Linked DNA regions of Yarrowia lipolytica. The protein of the gene in region 1 interacts with the protein of each later gene in a pairwise test. Links are inferred from orthologs where the notes say so. Each region holds a gene or a part of one and is shown on either strand. Other genes may lie near its edges.

Region 1 (5,581 bases):
TGCAAATACATGCATATATCAAGCAGGAGGATACGACATTCTTCATGTAGAAGAATCTGTTGGCGTATTGTTAAGTTGATTTTGATATTTAGTTGTGCTCTTTTTTTCATTATTTTGCTGTTTCTGCCATTTCCAAAATAAGCTCTCCATAATGTCCTCGCAGGTGGCTTGTGCATGTTGGATGCATATTTTATGTGGTTTACTGCAATTAAATGCAATTAAATGAATTAATAGTCAACGGTCGCTGGCCGCTCAATTTACGGGTACAGTGATTACTGTTGTGAATAATGCAGCTCAATTATGTTATGAATAAATAGGTCTCTGGGGAAAAGCTCAGGAAATATGATGGGGTTTTGTAGTTTGGGTCCAAAACAAGATGCTTATTTCAGGTTGGTGAAGTCAACCTCGCCCTCCATCAGACCGGCGTTCTCCTCGTTCTTTCGGGAGCAGGTGCACTGAGAGGCCTGTCGCATGCCGCAGGAGCAGGCGTCAGTGGGCTTGACGTTCTCGACGGCAGCCTTGGAGCAGTCGCAGTGCTGAGCGGGCATCTTACCACAAGAGCAGGTGGCTTCGATAGCACAGACACAGGAGTTGGACTTCTTGCAGCAGGTAGAGGCGGCCATTTTAATAGATGTTTGTGTTGGTTGGTTGGTTGGTTGGTCGATTGGTTGTTCGTGTCAGATGTGTAGCTTGGAGGCTTGATACTGAAACTATCGAGCGTGTGGAGAGGTCTTTATACTAGCCACACCATGTCATGCTCGTATACATGTTTTAGACTTCTCGCTAACCTTACGCCCCCGCTGACCTTTTCCGGCACTGTGATTGGCCGGTTGGTCCCATAACGCACGTGACCCATCAGTGGCGTGTCTCGCTGACCTTTGCTGGGGATTTGATTGGCTGACGAGGAGGGTGAATCACGTGATGATCTGAGAGGTGCACAGATATGCTGACCTTTGAAGCGCGTCTGATTGGCTGGGTCGTGACCAAGTCACGTGATCCCGAGAGTGGAACATTCCCACAACCTGTTTAATCATGGCGAATACACAGGGCTAAGGTGGCTGGTAAGGTGGCCAAAATAAGACGCAAAAAGTGAGGCTTGTGTGTGGGTTATCAGATTGTCTCTGGAGGGGCGAATACGTTGGGAAAAAAATGGAAAAACGGGAGGAATTGCTGAGTAATATTTATTTGGACCTTGTGACCGACCCGTGTCGCAGCAAACATAATCCTGGTTTTGATGGACGATGCCAGTATCGAGTATGTAGAAGAACAGTTTCAAGTAAGAGACGTGGTGTCCATAGAGCTGCCGATGATACTCACTGTAAAGGTACATACTACAGTAGTCCATAGTCTTGAACATTCAATGCGCTCCAATGTTGTGATGAATATTGCGTCTTACCATGAAGAGTGGTTGCAGAAGTTGTATCATTTGATTGGACATTTCACGCTGATTTGATTCGTATGGCAAAATCTTTTTCCTTACAGAACGTCGACTTTTTGTAGTTGTGCTGTGGTAAAATAATCGGACAATTTTGGCCGAAAGTGGCAGACTTTTGACGAGGTTTGATCGACGATCTATGAAAATTTTAATCAAAATCATAATTAAAAAATAAATAAATAAATAAATCAAATTAAAAATCCAAATAAAAATCAAATAAAAATCAAAAAAAAAAATCAAATAAATAAATAAAAAAAAAAAAAAAAAACCATTGATCTTACTGTCGAATGTACGATACAGCACCACTCGCACTGTCTTATATGTACGTATGCTGTACTCTCGTATCAGCCTATTCCCAGAAGTGATAAAAAAGAACCGTCGCTGTTGATGTTGACGAAAACAGTCCAACATCCTATTCGTACAGTGCATACGACTACGGTACACGAACTTGTATCTCTCCTGTTCCGCTGTTGGTCGCACCATCGCTTACCGTCTAGTTGGTTAAACCTATTGTATGTACTGTACATACTCGTACTTGTAACTAATAACCACCGTTATCCACGCCGTTATCCGTTGTGCCATTGTTTACTTGTATCGTACTTCGGCTAATCGCCTGAGTGGTGTGAGTATAAAAAATGGCAGTCACACTTGTATTGCTGTACTGCGCCACACCTTAGCTGACCATACCTATGACGTTCCACGACGAGCACCGGTCCGGCACCCGACTCGTACTCGTCGTACTTGCAGCCTCATCCATACCCAGCAATGATGCCATGTTCCTATCCAGGGCACGGCCTCTTCATCACACCACCTGTGCTTCCGAGACTATATGTAAGCAAGTTGGGCAGTGTAAGTGGTGCAGGTCATGTGACCTTGTAAACAACAACCCGACTTTACAGTAACGCTTGGACACACTTGTTGGCCTGTTGAGTCAACCCGGGGCCAACCCAAGGCAACAAGGAGACCAAACCATCAATATATCGGACCAATATATCGGACCACGGTCGCCGCCGAATCGCCCCACATGGCGCTGGGCCGTTCCAGCTGAGCTGATGCCCCCCACGTCGCTCCCATCGTATATCCAAACCCTATCAGCATTTTTTCTGAAAAAGGCCGTTAAACGACATATACGACTTGGGAGTTGGATCAGTAGGCTGATGTTGATTTTTCAACCCATTTTACCAAACCAAAAAGCTAATCTAGCCGAGTCGATGGCGGATCGCGGACATGCTACTCTAGACCACGTTCCGGACGGCGGTTTCGACCGGCGAGGTTATGAGTACGTCAGAAGCAGACAGAAGAACAGATTGCGAGCACAAATCCGAGACCCACGGCCCCCTAAAACACGTCCAGGGCCCTAATCAGATGTGCCGTCGCGACGCCCCTGACGTGTTCACATGTTGAGTTTGGATGCAGAAGGTTCAGCATGTTTAGCCCGTTTGGGTTATCAGATGATTGCTTGCGGGGGTCGTTGGGGACCATTTCCACACGAATACACGGAAAAAAACCACACAGTCACACTCACCGTGTCAGTGCCATCATGTTGGTGCCCTTTACCCCCCAAATATCCCAGTTTACACATCTTGCAACCCCCCCGGGATACGACGCAAACGACAGGGTTAGGAGCAAAGGCTAATACTTTTCGTGTTTTATAGGCCCTCCCATCCCACCCTTTGGAGTCCCATATCTCACCTCGACACACCATGTCTTCGATTCTCGAGAGCATCAACTCCACCGTCACCCCCGCGGCCTCCTACATCGGCACCTACGCCAAGCTGTCCGACGCCCACGCCGACACCCTCAACATTGTCGAGCGGGTGTGGGCATCATACTTTGTGTGGTGGGGCAATGATCTCATTGCTTGCGGCATCTTCATTTTCCTGCTGCACGAGATTCTCTACTTTGGCCGGTGCGTGCCCTGGATGATCCTCGACCAGATCCCCTACTTTCACAAGTGGAAGATCCAGGGCGAGGCCAAGGTGCCCTCTGTGGCCGAGCAGTGGGAGTGCATGAAGTCCGTGCTCATCTCGCACTTTATGGTCGAGGCCATCCCCATCTGGGGCTTCTACCCCGTCTGCAAGTACGCCGGAATTTCCATCGACGTGCCCTTCCCCTCCTGGATGAAGATCTGTGCCCATCTCGCCCTATTTTTTGTGCTGGAGGATACCTGGCACTACTGGCTGCACCGAGGCCTTCACTACGGTCCCTTCTACAAGCACATCCACAAGCAGCACCACCGATACGCCGCTCCCTTTGGTTTGACTGCCGAGTACGCTCACCCCGTTGAGGTGGCTTTGCTTGGTGTCGGAACTGTGGGCATCCCCATTGCCTGGGTCATGCTAACCGGTGATCTCCATCTCTTCACCGTGTCTGTGTGGATCGCCCTGCGACTCTTCCAGGCCATCGACGCCCATTCTGGCTATGAGTTCCCCGTGTCTCTGCATCACTTCTTGCCCATCTGGGCCGGTGCCGACCACCACGATGACCACCATCGATACTTCACCGGCAACTACGCCTCGTCGTTCCGATGGTGGGACTTTGTGCTCGACACCGAGGCCGGTCCCGCCGCCAAGGCCGAGCGACAGCAGCGACTTGCCGCCAAGGCTGCTAAGAAGGCCAAGAAGCAGCAGTAAGCGACCCCGGCCACTCACTACGGTCGCGATACCCAATCCCGATCCAAAACTGACCCCAGTATATACATAAGTTATTTAATATGATACATTTCTCCTTACGACGAAGCGCCCAAAGCGCTACGCTCGAAGCTCTACGCTAGAAGCTCTACGCTAGAAGCTCTACGCTCGAAGCTCGACGCTCGATTAGCTCTCAGATCATGTACTTCAGATGCCCTCATCGTGTATAAATAGAAGCAGAAAAACAATTCCCTTTGGGGAAAGAGACAAAGAAAGGAAGGGTGAGGAAGCCCAAAAGAAGTAATGTGAAACTTTGCCGAAGTGACCCAACTTGGTGAACATGTTGTGATGGTGGAATAGGAGACATGTGGTTGATTGAAGGGAGGTTACAAGAGCCGGACTACATGATTTCAACAGTAGCCAGCATTACCTTTACTGTACTAAATATAATAATATATTATTATTATGGATTTATTATTATGATTATTATTGTTTAAGTAGGTCTTACATAATTCGCATATATACGAGAGTGTCTCATGACTAGACCAACAGTACCTACACACTTGTGGTACAATGTATATCAGGAGAGTGATGGCGTTACATCGGTGTTTCTTTTTCCAAAACACATCTACATGCTCGTGTGATCCTCCTGGTCAGTGGCAATACAGCTGTTTATGATGGATCTAGGGCTAGATCAACATGAAGAGAAAGAATCAAGACGAAGGACAGAAGAGATATAGCATACACCGATATCGTCTCACAGAATCCCAGTTACCAGTGGTTACTGTACTCGTCCATACACCGTGGAATACCCTCAAGTATCGTAGGGACCAAAGAGCTGTCAGTGCCTCTGGCAGTCTTTCTACCACCTCTCCCTCCATCTACCAACTGTCGTTTATGTCCATTGTTCCATGCTATGGGTCTGTAAAGACCACTGTACCCGCATCGTGTCTACACTCAACTCGCTCCAGGCGCTCCGCGGAGGACCTACCGCTGCCATGGCCTTGGCCAGTCGCAGCCCCTCGCACTCGTCAGTCTATAAATATATAAATAATTACATGCGCTTTTCAATTGTCGCGTTAAACAGTGCCAGGTTCAAAGCGGCGTCATTGACCCCCATGGTGGGGTTACTTTCCTCCAACAAGTCAAATGACCGCACGGTCACCTCGGAAAAGGCGTCGTTGGCCGTGCTGTACAGCAACAGGTCTCTTGTAGGCCCAGCCTTTGAGGGGGCCGAATTGGCAGGCTCAGCCACTTCGGAAAGCTCGCTCTTGAGAGCTGTCCACGTGTCCTGCAGCGTGGCCTTGAGGTCCGGCGTGGTGGCCACAAACGGTGAATCCAACAACGCCTGCAGCCCCTCAACCACATGGTTGCGCAACATGGTCACCTCGGCGTCCTCCGAGGCCATGAGCGACTTTTCGTGGATCATGGCAATCTTAAGGAACATGGAAATGCCCTCTGCGAGTCCCGGGGGATGGGGCTCACGCACAGACGCCTCCACCAGTCGCTGCAGACC
Region 2 (6,055 bases), on another chromosome or scaffold:
TCAAGTCTGATCCTGATCACTTGTCAAGTCTGTACAGAGTATGATGTCCCCGCAAGTGTATCTAGAGTCAACTGCTGTATCGCTTATCGGGGAGTACGTACATGCTCGATTCAATGAATCGGCAAGTTGTATGAATGCGGAAGGGTTCCTTTTGGTCTTTCTTTCCTTTTTTGTCTTTCTTTTCCTTTCTTTCGGTATTCTCGCCCCGCTGTTACTCCCTATTCCGTGTGGTTTGGCCGTTAAGTGCAGGAGGGAATCGAACTTCGTAAGGCTGTGGATTGTGCAGCGGCTATTCACTTGAGGATCCGATGATGACTGCAGATCACGTATTTCCCTAGGGTTATTTATATATATATATTATTATTTATTTTATTTTTATTTTCCACGAGCATCTTTTATGGTCAATTGTCCAACATCCTAATTGAAGATCATAAGTATTATTGATGTGATATAGTTAACAACTTACAACCCACTCCGATAGTAGCACACACCCTTCTGGTGTGTGCTTGCTCATTCGCCAGAAAAGACTAGATCAGTGGATAAAACTATCTACAGGATGGACATCTCGTCGTCTACGACCCAGCTGATTTCTCTCATCACTATGTGGTGACATCTCACCATTATGTGAGGAATTAGCCAGGTATTACACTACCGGGTATGACTTCCTTCAGCACATGCAAGGCCTTCTGCCAAAAGATTGACGTCCCTTCCATCTAAAATGGCGGCTGAATCTTGTTGGATCTTACTGGAGGCCAAGGACGGCCCGCTGAACTACATTAGAGCGAGCCATGCGAAAAACTGGCCTATCTTGTAGTGACCCCTTGGTCCAGCGAGACTGGCTCGCTTGTTCAACCGAGTTTCTGCAGCATATCGTCGTCATGGCTGAGGTGGATGCGCAGCGGCGAATGAGCGCCGAGGTGATTTCACTCTACAAGTAGGAGGATTATTGCAATGGCTGGTACACATTGCGTATCTGTGGAAACTGCTCGCGCTGAATAAACTCGCTGACGACTGATTAATGAAAATGGAATATTGGGGGAAAAATATATATATTTTATTTTAAAACATAAAATAAAAATAAAATAAAATAAAATAAAACATAAAAATAAAACATAAAAAACCAACACAACACCCCAATACTCCTACTCCCCGATTCCACTACCACTCAATCAAGATACACACGAATCTTTCCCATGCTAATGACACCTTCTACGGTCCCTTCGAGATCAAACTAAACCAAGGAGTTTGGAGAAGACAGGAGACCCAGAATAAATATATAAAAAACATATATAAAAAAGAGAAGAAAAAACACGATTGATACGATTTATGACTAACTAACTCGAGACCAGGACGATGAACCAAAGACTTGCGCCTCGAAACGCATATCGAGATTATCAAGTGTATGATTAACGCCAACAACCCGGCTTCATGTATATATAGATGTGATGAATCGAGAGAATACTAAAATATAATATATATATATAAAGGACAGCCAGATATCACGTTCGTTGAATTAATATATATCATTCATGTGAACGGTTTTTTTTTATTTATTTATTTTTTTTATTTTATTTTATTTTATTTTATTTTATTTTATTTTATTTTTTATTTATTTTATTTTATTTTTTTTATATTTTATTTTATTTTATTTTTTTTATTTATTTTATTTATTTTATTTTATTTTATTTTATTTTATTTTATTTTTTTTTATTTTTTATTTATTTTTTATTTATTTTATTTATTTTATTTTATTTTATTTTTATTTTATTTCTTTTACTTTCTTTCTTCTCTTTCTCCCTTGTCTCAGCCCTCAGATGCCCAACCATTTAAAGTTGGAGCGTGTGTTCATTTCTGGTTGAAAAATCTGCGAGCGGAGAAATGTGGCATAACAGACGTGTATCCACAGTTACATGTGATATTGCAACATGGCACGATGGAACGTCGCGCGAGCCTCAGCGACACGTGGATGTGTGTCAGTGCGGCTTGTGATGGCCGTCTCACCTGCAGATGCAATTTAGCGCTCGCTAGACGCGCTTTTGGCCCAGTCCAGGGCAAGGTGTTACCCAAACAACTAGTGAACGAGCCACGCGAGGATATGCGACCGTTAACGACGAGACAAGTCAAAGTGTCTAAACCCAAAATGTGTGCCAGGGGGGGGGAGAATAAAAAAAAATCGGTCTTAGCTGTACGAGTAATAGCGGTCGAGAACAATGCCAGATACTAACACGACTTATATAGAGCTAGCAGGAAAGGGGGGACAAAAACGCTCGTAAAAACACAACCGAAACGCCGGTCTTCTCTTCTCCTACACAGACACCACTCGGGCCCACCGGACCTGCACTTCTGGGGGAGCAAACACGTTAAAAACAAAAGCACAAGCACAAGCACAAGCACATCAGCATCAGAGCCACGGACAAAGTTTATCAACATCGCCCTTTTTTTGAATCGAACGATAAATATCACCAGCAGCAACAGATTGCAGAGTTGGACCACTTCTCCAGACTGCGTAAACAGGTGATACTTGGTGGTATAAGAACAACATACCCACGCTCTCTCGCCCGCACATTCGTTCCGACGCATTTACAAACCGCCAGTCTCTCGCTCAACGCTCACATAAATTAATCACACAACAGCCCACACTCACACTCACACAAAATGGTCACCCAACAGTCTGCAGCAGAGACCAGCGCCACCCAGACCAACGAGTACGACGTGGTCATTGTCGGAGCTGGTATTGCCGGGCCCGCTCTGGCCGTGGCTCTTGGAAATCAGGGCAGAAAGGTTCTTGTTGTGGAACGAGATCTCTCCGAACCGGACCGAATCGTGGGAGAGCTGCTTCAGCCCGGAGGAGTCGCTGCTCTCAAGACTCTGGGTCTCGGCTCTTGTATCGAGGATATCGACGCGATCCCCTGCCAGGGATACAACGTGATCTACTCTGGAGAAGAGTGCGTTCTCAAATACCCCAAGGTCCCCCGAGACATCCAGCAGGACTACAACGAGCTGTACAGAAGCGGAAAGTCTGCCGACATCTCCAACGAGGCTCCCCGAGGAGTATCCTTCCACCACGGCCGATTTGTCATGAACTTGCGAAGGGCCGCACGAGACACACCCAATGTGACTCTGCTGGAGGCCACAGTCACCGAGGTGGTCAAGAACCCTTACACCGGCCACATTATTGGAGTCAAGACCTTCTCTAAAACTGGAGGCGCCAAAATCTACAAGCACTTCTTTGCTCCTCTCACCGTCGTCTGTGATGGAACTTTTTCCAAGTTCCGAAAGGACTTTAGCACCAACAAGACGTCTGTGCGTTCGCATTTCGCCGGTCTGATTCTCAAGGACGCTGTTCTGCCCTCCCCCCAGCATGGCCACGTGATTCTGTCGCCCAACTCGTGTCCCGTTCTTGTCTACCAGGTTGGAGCTCGAGAGACCCGAATTCTGTGTGACATTCAGGGACCCGTCCCCTCTAATGCAACCGGAGCCCTCAAGGAACACATGGAGAAGAACGTCATGCCCCACCTGCCTAAGTCCATCCAGCCGTCTTTCCAAGCCGCTCTCAAGGAGCAGACCATTCGAGTCATGCCCAACTCTTTCCTGTCGGCCTCCAAGAACGATCACCACGGTTTGATTCTGCTGGGTGACGCACTCAACATGCGACATCCACTTACCGGAGGAGGAATGACCGTTGCTCTCAATGATGCCCTTCTACTCAGCAGACTTCTCACCGGCGTTAACCTGGAAGACACCTATGCCGTGTCCTCCGTCATGAGCTCGCAGTTCCACTGGCAGCGAAAACACCTCGACTCCATCGTCAACATTCTCTCCATGGCCCTCTACTCGCTCTTCGCCGCCGACTCGGACTACTTGCGAATCCTGCAGCTCGGATGCTTCAACTACTTCAAGCTGGGAGGCATCTGTGTGGACCACCCCGTCATGCTGTTGGCTGGAGTTCTCCCCCGACCCATGTACCTGTTTACGCATTTCTTCGTAGTGGCCATCTACGGCGGAATCTGCAACATGCAGGCCAACGGCATTGCCAAGCTGCCCGCGTCGCTACTGCAATTTGTCGCCTCTCTGGTCACCGCTTGCATCGTCATCTTCCCTTACATTTGGAGCGAGCTGACTTAGACGTTCGTTGGACCTGGGCCAGCGACATGAAGAGATACTAACTAGATGATCTACTTGTAGCATATAGACTAATTTGAATGAATAATGATAGACCATACGAGTACTGTACTTTCGAAAACACGCCATGCCTGCCTGGCACACAAAAGCAATTCTCTCATGGCATGATGCTAAATCATATGACAAAACATATCAACTCTACATGTATATATATGTTCATTTAATTCATAAACAATTTGATTGATAAATATTCACAATTTAACACATCGCGCTTAGAGCTTGGAAGAGCTGCCAACGGAGGTGATCTGGTCGTAAAGGAGAGTGGTGAGGAAGTCGGAGTACTTGTCGCCAACAATCTCGGGCTTGAAGTAAGCGGCGGCCTCAGCAAACTTGTTGCCGGGCTTGGAGTTCTTGATGAGCTTGTCGGTCTCCTCGTTGAGAAGCTTGACGGCGTAGTCCTTGGTGACCTTCTTGCCTTCGGCGGTGGTAACACCGTGCTTGACCCACTGGTGGAGCTGAGATCGAGACACCTCAGCGGTGGCAGCATCCTCCATCAAGTAGTTGATGGGGACACAACCAAGACCACGGAGCCAGGCCTCCATGTAGCCAAGACCGATGAACAGGTTCTTTCGGATACCCTCCTCGGTGATCTTGCCGCCCTCAATGTAAGGGTTGATGAGGTCTCGAGCGGTGATGTGGACATCCTCTCGTCGTCGGTAGATCTGGTTAGGAGTGGGCATGTGCTTGTTGAAAACCTCGGAGGCGATGATGGCAAGCTGGGGGTGAGCAACCCAGGTACCGTCGTGGCCGGCGGTCACCTCTCGGAGCTTGTCCTTGTAGACACCCTCCATGGCAACCTTGTTGGCAGCAGCATCGTTCTTGATGGGGATCTGAGCAGCCATACCGCCCATGGCGTGGACGCCTCGCTTGTGGCAGGTCTGGATGAGGAGCTTGACGTAAGCAGACATGTAAGGGACGGTCATGGTAACGTCACCTCGGTCGGGGAGAACAAACTCGGGATGGTTCTTGAACTTCTTGATGAAGGAGAAGATGTAATCCCATCGGCCACAGTTGAGACCAGAGGAGTGCTCTCGGAGCTCGTAGATGATCTCGTCCATCTCAAAGGCGGCGAGAATGGTCTCGATCAGAACGGTACCTCGGATGGTTCCTCGGGGCATGCCGATCCAGTCCTGAGAGAGCTTGAAGACGTCGTTCCAGAGTCGGGCCTCAAGGTGGGACTCCATCTTGGGGAGGTAGAAGTAAGGGCCAGCGCCTCGAGCAACGGACTCCTTGGCGTTGTTGAAGAAGTACAGACCGAAATCAAAGAGACCACCGGAGATGGGCTTGCCATCAACAAGGAAGTGGGTCTCATCAAGGTGCCAGCCTCGAGGTCGGACGATAAGGGTGGGGAGCTTCTCCTTGTCGGATCGGAGCTTGTAAGACTTTCCACCGGGGGCCTGGAAGGTGATGGTTCGTCGGACACCGTCGTAGAGGTTGACCTGACCATCGACCATGTTGGACCAGGTGGGGGCAGAGGAGTCCTCAAAGTCAGCCATGTAGGTCCAGACGTCGGAGTTCAGGGCGTTGATGACCATCTTTCGGTCAGTGGGGCCGGTGATCTCGACTCGTCGATCAACCAGACCGGGGGCGGGGGGGGCACCCTGCCAAGTGGGGTCATCTCGGATGTTCTTGGTCTCGGGGAGGAAGTCGGGGAACTCGCCGGCATCGATTCGGGCCTGTCGAGCGACTCGAGCAGCAAGGAGCTCGTGTCGTCGGGCATCGAAGGTTCGGTGCAGGGTGGCGATGAAAGCCAGAGCCTCCTTGGAGAAGATGTGCTGGGCGTTGGCGGGGATGTTAGCCCGGATCTCAACACCCTTGAGAATGGCGTCAGTGTTGCTAGAAGGAACAGTAGTCACTAAATGGTTAGTATGGA
Region 3 (5,452 bases), on another chromosome or scaffold:
TCCACCGGGTCACGGCGTTCGACATTCTGCCCATCAATGGCGGCTCGGCAGACCCCCAGGAGCAGCAGTACCTCAAGATTCTGCAGTTCCACCTCGACAGCTCGCGACTGTACTTCTGCCGAACCTGGGACCTCACCACGTCACTGCAGGCCCAGAGCCACGCCCAGCGGGCCCCCGGAGTGTCGTTCGAGACCGCTGACGAACGGTTCTTCTGGAACAAGTACGTGTGCACCGATCTGATTGACGCCGCCCGTACCCAGCCCGGCGTGGCGCTGTTCGTCACCCCCATGTCCTTTGGCTTTGTGGAGCTCTCCCAGAGCACCATCAATGGCCGAAGCATCACCTTTGGTGTCATCACCCGACGATCGCGACACAGAGCCGGCACCCGGTACTTCCGACGAGGAATTGACGCCCACGGCAACGTGGCAAACTTCAACGAGACCGAGCAGCTGCTCATCGTCGAAGGCACCGCCGAGCCCCCACGTGTCTTCTCCTACCTGCAGACCCGAGGCTCCGTCCCCGTGTACTGGGGCGAGGTCATCAACCTCAAGTACAAGCCCAACCTGCAGATTGGCCAGCCCGCCACGGACGCCGCCAAGCTGCACTTTGACGACCAGATCAAGCGGTACGGTCGCAACTACCTCGTCAACCTCGTCAACCAGAAGGGCTACGAGCTGCCTGTCAAGCGGGCCTACGAGCAGCTGGTCGACCAGCTCGGCTACCCCGAGGACCAGGTCTCGTACGTCTACTTTGACTTCCACCACGAGTGCTCCAAGATGCGATGGCACCGTGTCCTGTTGCTGATTGAGCGGCTGCAGGAGCTGGGTCTCGACCAGCAGGGCTACTTTGAGGCTACCCTCATGCCCAACCGTCAGCTGCAGCCCCAGGCTAACCAGACCTCCGTCGTGCGAACCAACTGCATGGACTGCCTGGACCGAACTAACGTGGTCCAGTCCACCTTGGGCCGATGGGTGCTGCAGAAGCAGTTTGAGGCTGCCGGAATTCTGGCCCCCGGCCAGAAGTGGGAGACTACTGAGCCCAAGTTCGAGCTCATCTTCCGAAACGTGTGGGCCGACAACGCCAATGCAGTGTCCGTCACTTATTCTGGAACCGGTGCTCTCAAGACTGATTTCACCCGTCTGGGCAAGCGAACCAAACAGGGCGCTCTCAACGACGGTCTCAACTCCGCCACCCGATACATCAAGAACAACTTCCAGGACGGCATTCGTCAGGACTCTTTCGACCTGTTCCTGGGCAACTACGTGCCCTACTCGGGCCGACCTGCCCGCTTCTACGACGTGCGCCCCATTCTGTTCCAGGCCGTGCCCTACATGGTTCTGTCTGCCGTGGTGCTCATTCTCTGTGCCACCTTCTTCCCCCGACAGGATCTGTCTGCTCTGGTGAGCCGATCATTTGTGGGCTTCTGGGTGCTGGTACTGGTGTGGTCGGTGCGATACATGACCAAGAACGGTCTGCAGTTTGTCAACTGGCCCAAGCTCATCAAGCCCGACTTTGTGTCTGAAAACGAGATTGTCAACAACGGCAAGGTCTCTGGTATTGTCTACAAGGTGGGAGACAGCGACCGGGTCAACAAGCTGGATTAGAGAACGGCTAGATATATATCATGTTAACGAATCGAATAAAAGACATCATTGAATACTGCGGGAGAAGTGCAGTAGGTATGTTAAGCCATGGTTATACTACTTATTCGCTCTATGGGCGTGTCTGTAGCGCAATCATTCTATCACATCCCTTCTCTATTACTGTCTATAATATATAATACATAAATACAATCCCCTTGGCGGTTGCAGCTCGTTGGAGCTGTCTTTTGATGCTCACAGGTGAGTTGTTGTAGTGTCTCATGGGCCCTGTGAGTCAGCCAGAGCTGTTCTGCAACTCTCTGCTGTAGTCATGGTGGTTGGCACTCTTTTCACTCCACCTTGAAATTCACTTCTCGATCTCCATAAACACCAATGATATAGGCCACTCGAGTGACCACCAAATCGATGGCCATCTTGATACTGTCAGCAGCGAGATCGATTTTCGAGCCCTCCACCTCGTGCCACGAAATGGGAATCTCGGCAATGGCCAGACCTTTTCTCTGGGCCAGCATGAGCACCTCGACGTCGAAAATCCAGCCCTCGGTGTGCATGTAAGGGAAGATGTTTTCGGTGGCTCGTCGAGAAAAGAGCTTGAAGCCGCACTGAGTGTCTCTGATGGTCCGCACTCCAAATGTCCACACCAGCAGATGCAGGCCTCTCATGAGAAAGTTGCGGATGAAGGACCGCTTGACCACGGCATCCGTGCCGACCATGTGTGCTCTGGAGCCGATAGCCACTCCGTCGTTGACCTTGACAGCCTCTAGAAGTCGCGGCATGTCCTTGAAGTCCGAGGCTCCGTCGGCGTCGGCAAAGAGCACGTACTTGCCTCGCGAGAAGCGCATTCCGTGGGCCACCGCTCCTCCCTTACCTCGGTTTTTGGCCAGTCGGGTGACCCTCAAAGAGCCGGGTTTCATGTGTTGAGATGCCCACTCGAGCGCAAACTCGGGGGTCTTGTCGCGCGAGCCGTCGTCGACGATGATCACCTCGTAGGGCTGCTTGAGAGCGTCCAGCACTGGCACCGCGTCTTCCAGCATGACTCCCAGTCGCTTCGTTTCGTTGTAGCAGGGCACTACCACCGAAATGAACACGTAGTCGTCGTCGTCGTCGGCGTCGGTGTCTTTGCGTCCGTGTGCCTGCTTCTCCAGAGCCACAAGCGGCTGTTTGGGCGACACCGATCCGTCGGCCACGGTGGTTTCAAAGAACTGCTCGTGTTTGTGCACCGGTCGAGGCTTGTGCGAAAAGGCAAACACGGCGGCGTACACCGCGAGAATGAGCGCCACGAGCGCAGCCACCACGTAGAACATGTTGGCGTGTGGGTGGTGGTGGTGGTAGTGGTGAAGATGGTAAGACAACGGAGATGAGGTTACGTGGGCCCTGTAGGCAGAGTACAGTAGAGTTTCGGTAGAGCCTACTTTGAGTTGAGCACTTGTTGGCGAAGCAGGTGTGCCTGTAGGCTTTAGGGGCCTTTTTGGAGGTGATTAAAATAGCTGAGGTGATTGTATCGCCATTTTTGTACAAATTTCTCTTTTCATAATTTCATTTTGAGCATTATTCGTCAAGTTGAAAGGTGACCAAGTTGGAGTATATATATATTACACCAATATTAAACTCAGCCCTCGACAGAGCCGATTGGGTGACAACAGGATGATTTATGGACATAAATAGATGATTTGAGACAGTTATTTTTGACAGATGAATACTGAACTGATTCTGGAGTATCACCGATATCTCAATTATAATTTCCACATTTCAGAAACACGTATTTCACCAGTTTGGGCGTGTGTTATTTTTGGACATTAAACTTGCGCAGCTTTTGGAGACGGCTGAATAGGGGGCGCTGTTGTAGCCGTTGCAAGTGACGAATTTGAGAGCCGGTTTTTACAAATGAACTGAAAACACGTTTCTCGAGGCTATTTTAGAAAAATCTGCGTTGTTTTTCCACCGCAACAACACCACAAACACATGTTTACCATTCGCCTATGTCCATTTGTCTACATAAATTTGAGTTTGGCAAGGCAGAGTTGTGGTTCATTTGGGACGCAGATTTGAAAGCGATTCAGGGGCACTATCACTCTGAAAAGTTGGCATAATAGCCCAAATTTTCCGTTTCAGTTGATTTTCGTTTTCTTCTTCTGTTTATCTCTCTTCAATCCCGCTCTATACACTGTTTATGCCCCTGTGTAAAGTTCGGTTCCGGGAATTTTGTGTTTTTCACTTGAGTGATTAGCCGTTCGTCAACATCCACAACAGTAGTCTGAATGGCTCCATTGGATGAACATGAGCGGTTGTTGTTGCTATTTTGAGGTTTTTGACTCGATAAAAAACAACACTGTCAAATCGACCCGCTCATAAGCTGTGTTTTACTGCTCTTGTCCCCATCCAGCAACCGGGCCCCGCCACGTCTGCAGATCTGATAATCCATGGCCTGTTTGGGTGAGTGGTAGTACAGCGCAGATTCAGTTTGGGTCTTGGGTTTTCACCACGTGCTCGTGACGCGCCAATTTTCTTGCTAGCGTCATTTTGGCGAAAATCTGCGAAATTTTGGCAAAATTCAGGGCACTGGTCCTACACGTACAGGTAGCGGTGTTTTTAGTGTCTTGTCAACGTCTGGAACCATCCGTGGAGTCGGATGCACAATAAATAGTGCAGTTTTACGACCCGTGGTGGAGTATTTTGCTAGTATTTTTGGTAGTATTCCCAAGTAGTTTATTGAGGTATTTGTTAAGTTAAAAATTACTCGAGGTTACTCTATAATGTGAAAAACTATCTTGAAAAATTTGTGATCTGACCATTTCTCGGCACTTGTGATTGGCCGATGACGCTTTTTTGAGACATTTGAAAAGGTCGCTTGCTCAGCTTCATTTTGACACCACAATTGACACCACAAATCTGCCCCCCCCCCCCCCACCCCCATTTTTGTACTACCTACAAATGAATGCTGAACCGCTCTTCCGATCTAACTTTTTAGAATGTTAAACAATAACGGCCATGATGGCGATGGCGCCAAACACGACGGAGGCAACCACCTTCTCGGCAGCCAGCGAGGCGCCGGCGCTCTTCTTGTTTCCGCCCTTGGAGGACGAGGCGGCGGCCGAGCCAGAGGCAGCGGCAGCAGCAGAGCCCTTAGCAGAGCCCGAGCCAGAGCCCGAGGATCCGGACGATCCAGAGCCCGAAGATCCAGAGCCGGACGAGCCGGAAGAGCCGGACGAGCCGGAAGAGACAGCAGTGGCCTGGGCGTTCTGGCAGTTGGATCCGGTCTTGGGGCTCTGGACAATGGAGGCCTGGGAAGAAAAGTCGCAGGCCTGAGAGTTGCCGTTCTGGGAGTCGTAGTACTTGCCCATGAGGAAGTTGAGCTTCTGCTTGGCGTCACAGAAGGACAGGTCTCCGTACTTGCCGGAGGTTCCGTTGGACTGGATCTCGGAGCAGTCCACATCGAGGTTACCGCACAGCTCTCCAAAGAGATCGCCGTAGTTCTTGGCGTTAGTGTCCGAGTTGACGACACAAGAAGAGCCATCGTTGATGCACTGACAGGTTCCGACCTTGGGGGTGGGAGGCAGGGTGGGAGAGCCTTTCCAGTTGGCGTTGAAGTCGGGGCACGAGACGCCACCAGCGGTCTGAGAGGGCTTGTAGTCGTTGGTGTTGGCGGAGGAAGGAGAAATCTTAGCCATCTGCGAAGACAGGTTGTTGAAGTCGTCGAGAGTGGAGACGGAGCTTCCGGAAACAGACACCAGACCGTACTGGTTCTGCTCCTCAAAGTACATGTAGACGATTCCTCCGGACCAGACGTCGGTCATGTTGGGGCCAAACAGAACGGGCACGTCGGAGAACTGTCGCGGCTTGACTCGGTTGCA

What was found.
Region 2: the proteins of YALI1_F14958g (region 1) and YALI1_E18961g interact in a protein complementation assay, tested with the Saccharomyces cerevisiae proteins (2 studies listed by BioGRID). The link is inferred for Yarrowia lipolytica from reciprocal best matches to the Saccharomyces cerevisiae genes ERG25 and ERG1.
Region 3: the proteins of YALI1_F14958g (region 1) and YALI1_D07696g interact in a protein complementation assay, tested with the Saccharomyces cerevisiae proteins (2 studies listed by BioGRID). The link is inferred for Yarrowia lipolytica from reciprocal best matches to the Saccharomyces cerevisiae genes ERG25 and ALG5.

Annotation. Positions count from the first base shown.
Region 1 is NC_090775.1:1,492,734-1,498,314, forward strand, and holds YALI1_F14958g (uncharacterized protein), read left to right. Parts: upstream 1-3,138; coding exon 3,139-4,068; downstream 4,069-5,581. Other genes in the region: YALI1_F14933g (uncharacterized protein), read right to left, coding at 381-623; YALI1_F14946g (uncharacterized protein), read right to left, coding at 1,358-1,918; YALI1_F15017g (uncharacterized protein), read right to left, coding at 5,120-5,581.
Region 2 is NC_090774.1:1,892,756-1,898,810, reverse strand, and holds YALI1_E18961g (uncharacterized protein), read left to right. Parts: upstream 1-2,655; coding exon 2,656-4,125; downstream 4,126-6,055. Other genes in the region: YALI1_E18927g (uncharacterized protein), read right to left, coding at 4,395-6,055. UniProt on the Saccharomyces cerevisiae protein: Squalene epoxidase; part of the third module of ergosterol biosynthesis pathway that includes the late steps of the pathway. ERG1 catalyzes the epoxidation of squalene into 2,3-epoxysqualene.
Region 3 is NC_090773.1:766,735-772,186, forward strand, and holds YALI1_D07696g (uncharacterized protein), read right to left. Parts: upstream 2,906-5,452; coding exon 1,931-2,905; downstream 1-1,930. Other genes in the region: YALI1_D07665g (uncharacterized protein), read left to right, coding at 1-1,604; YALI1_D07729g (uncharacterized protein), read right to left, coding at 4,574-5,452. UniProt on the Saccharomyces cerevisiae protein: Endoplasmic reticulum membrane-bound UDP-glucose:dolichyl-phosphate glucosyltransferase involved in protein N-linked glycosylation.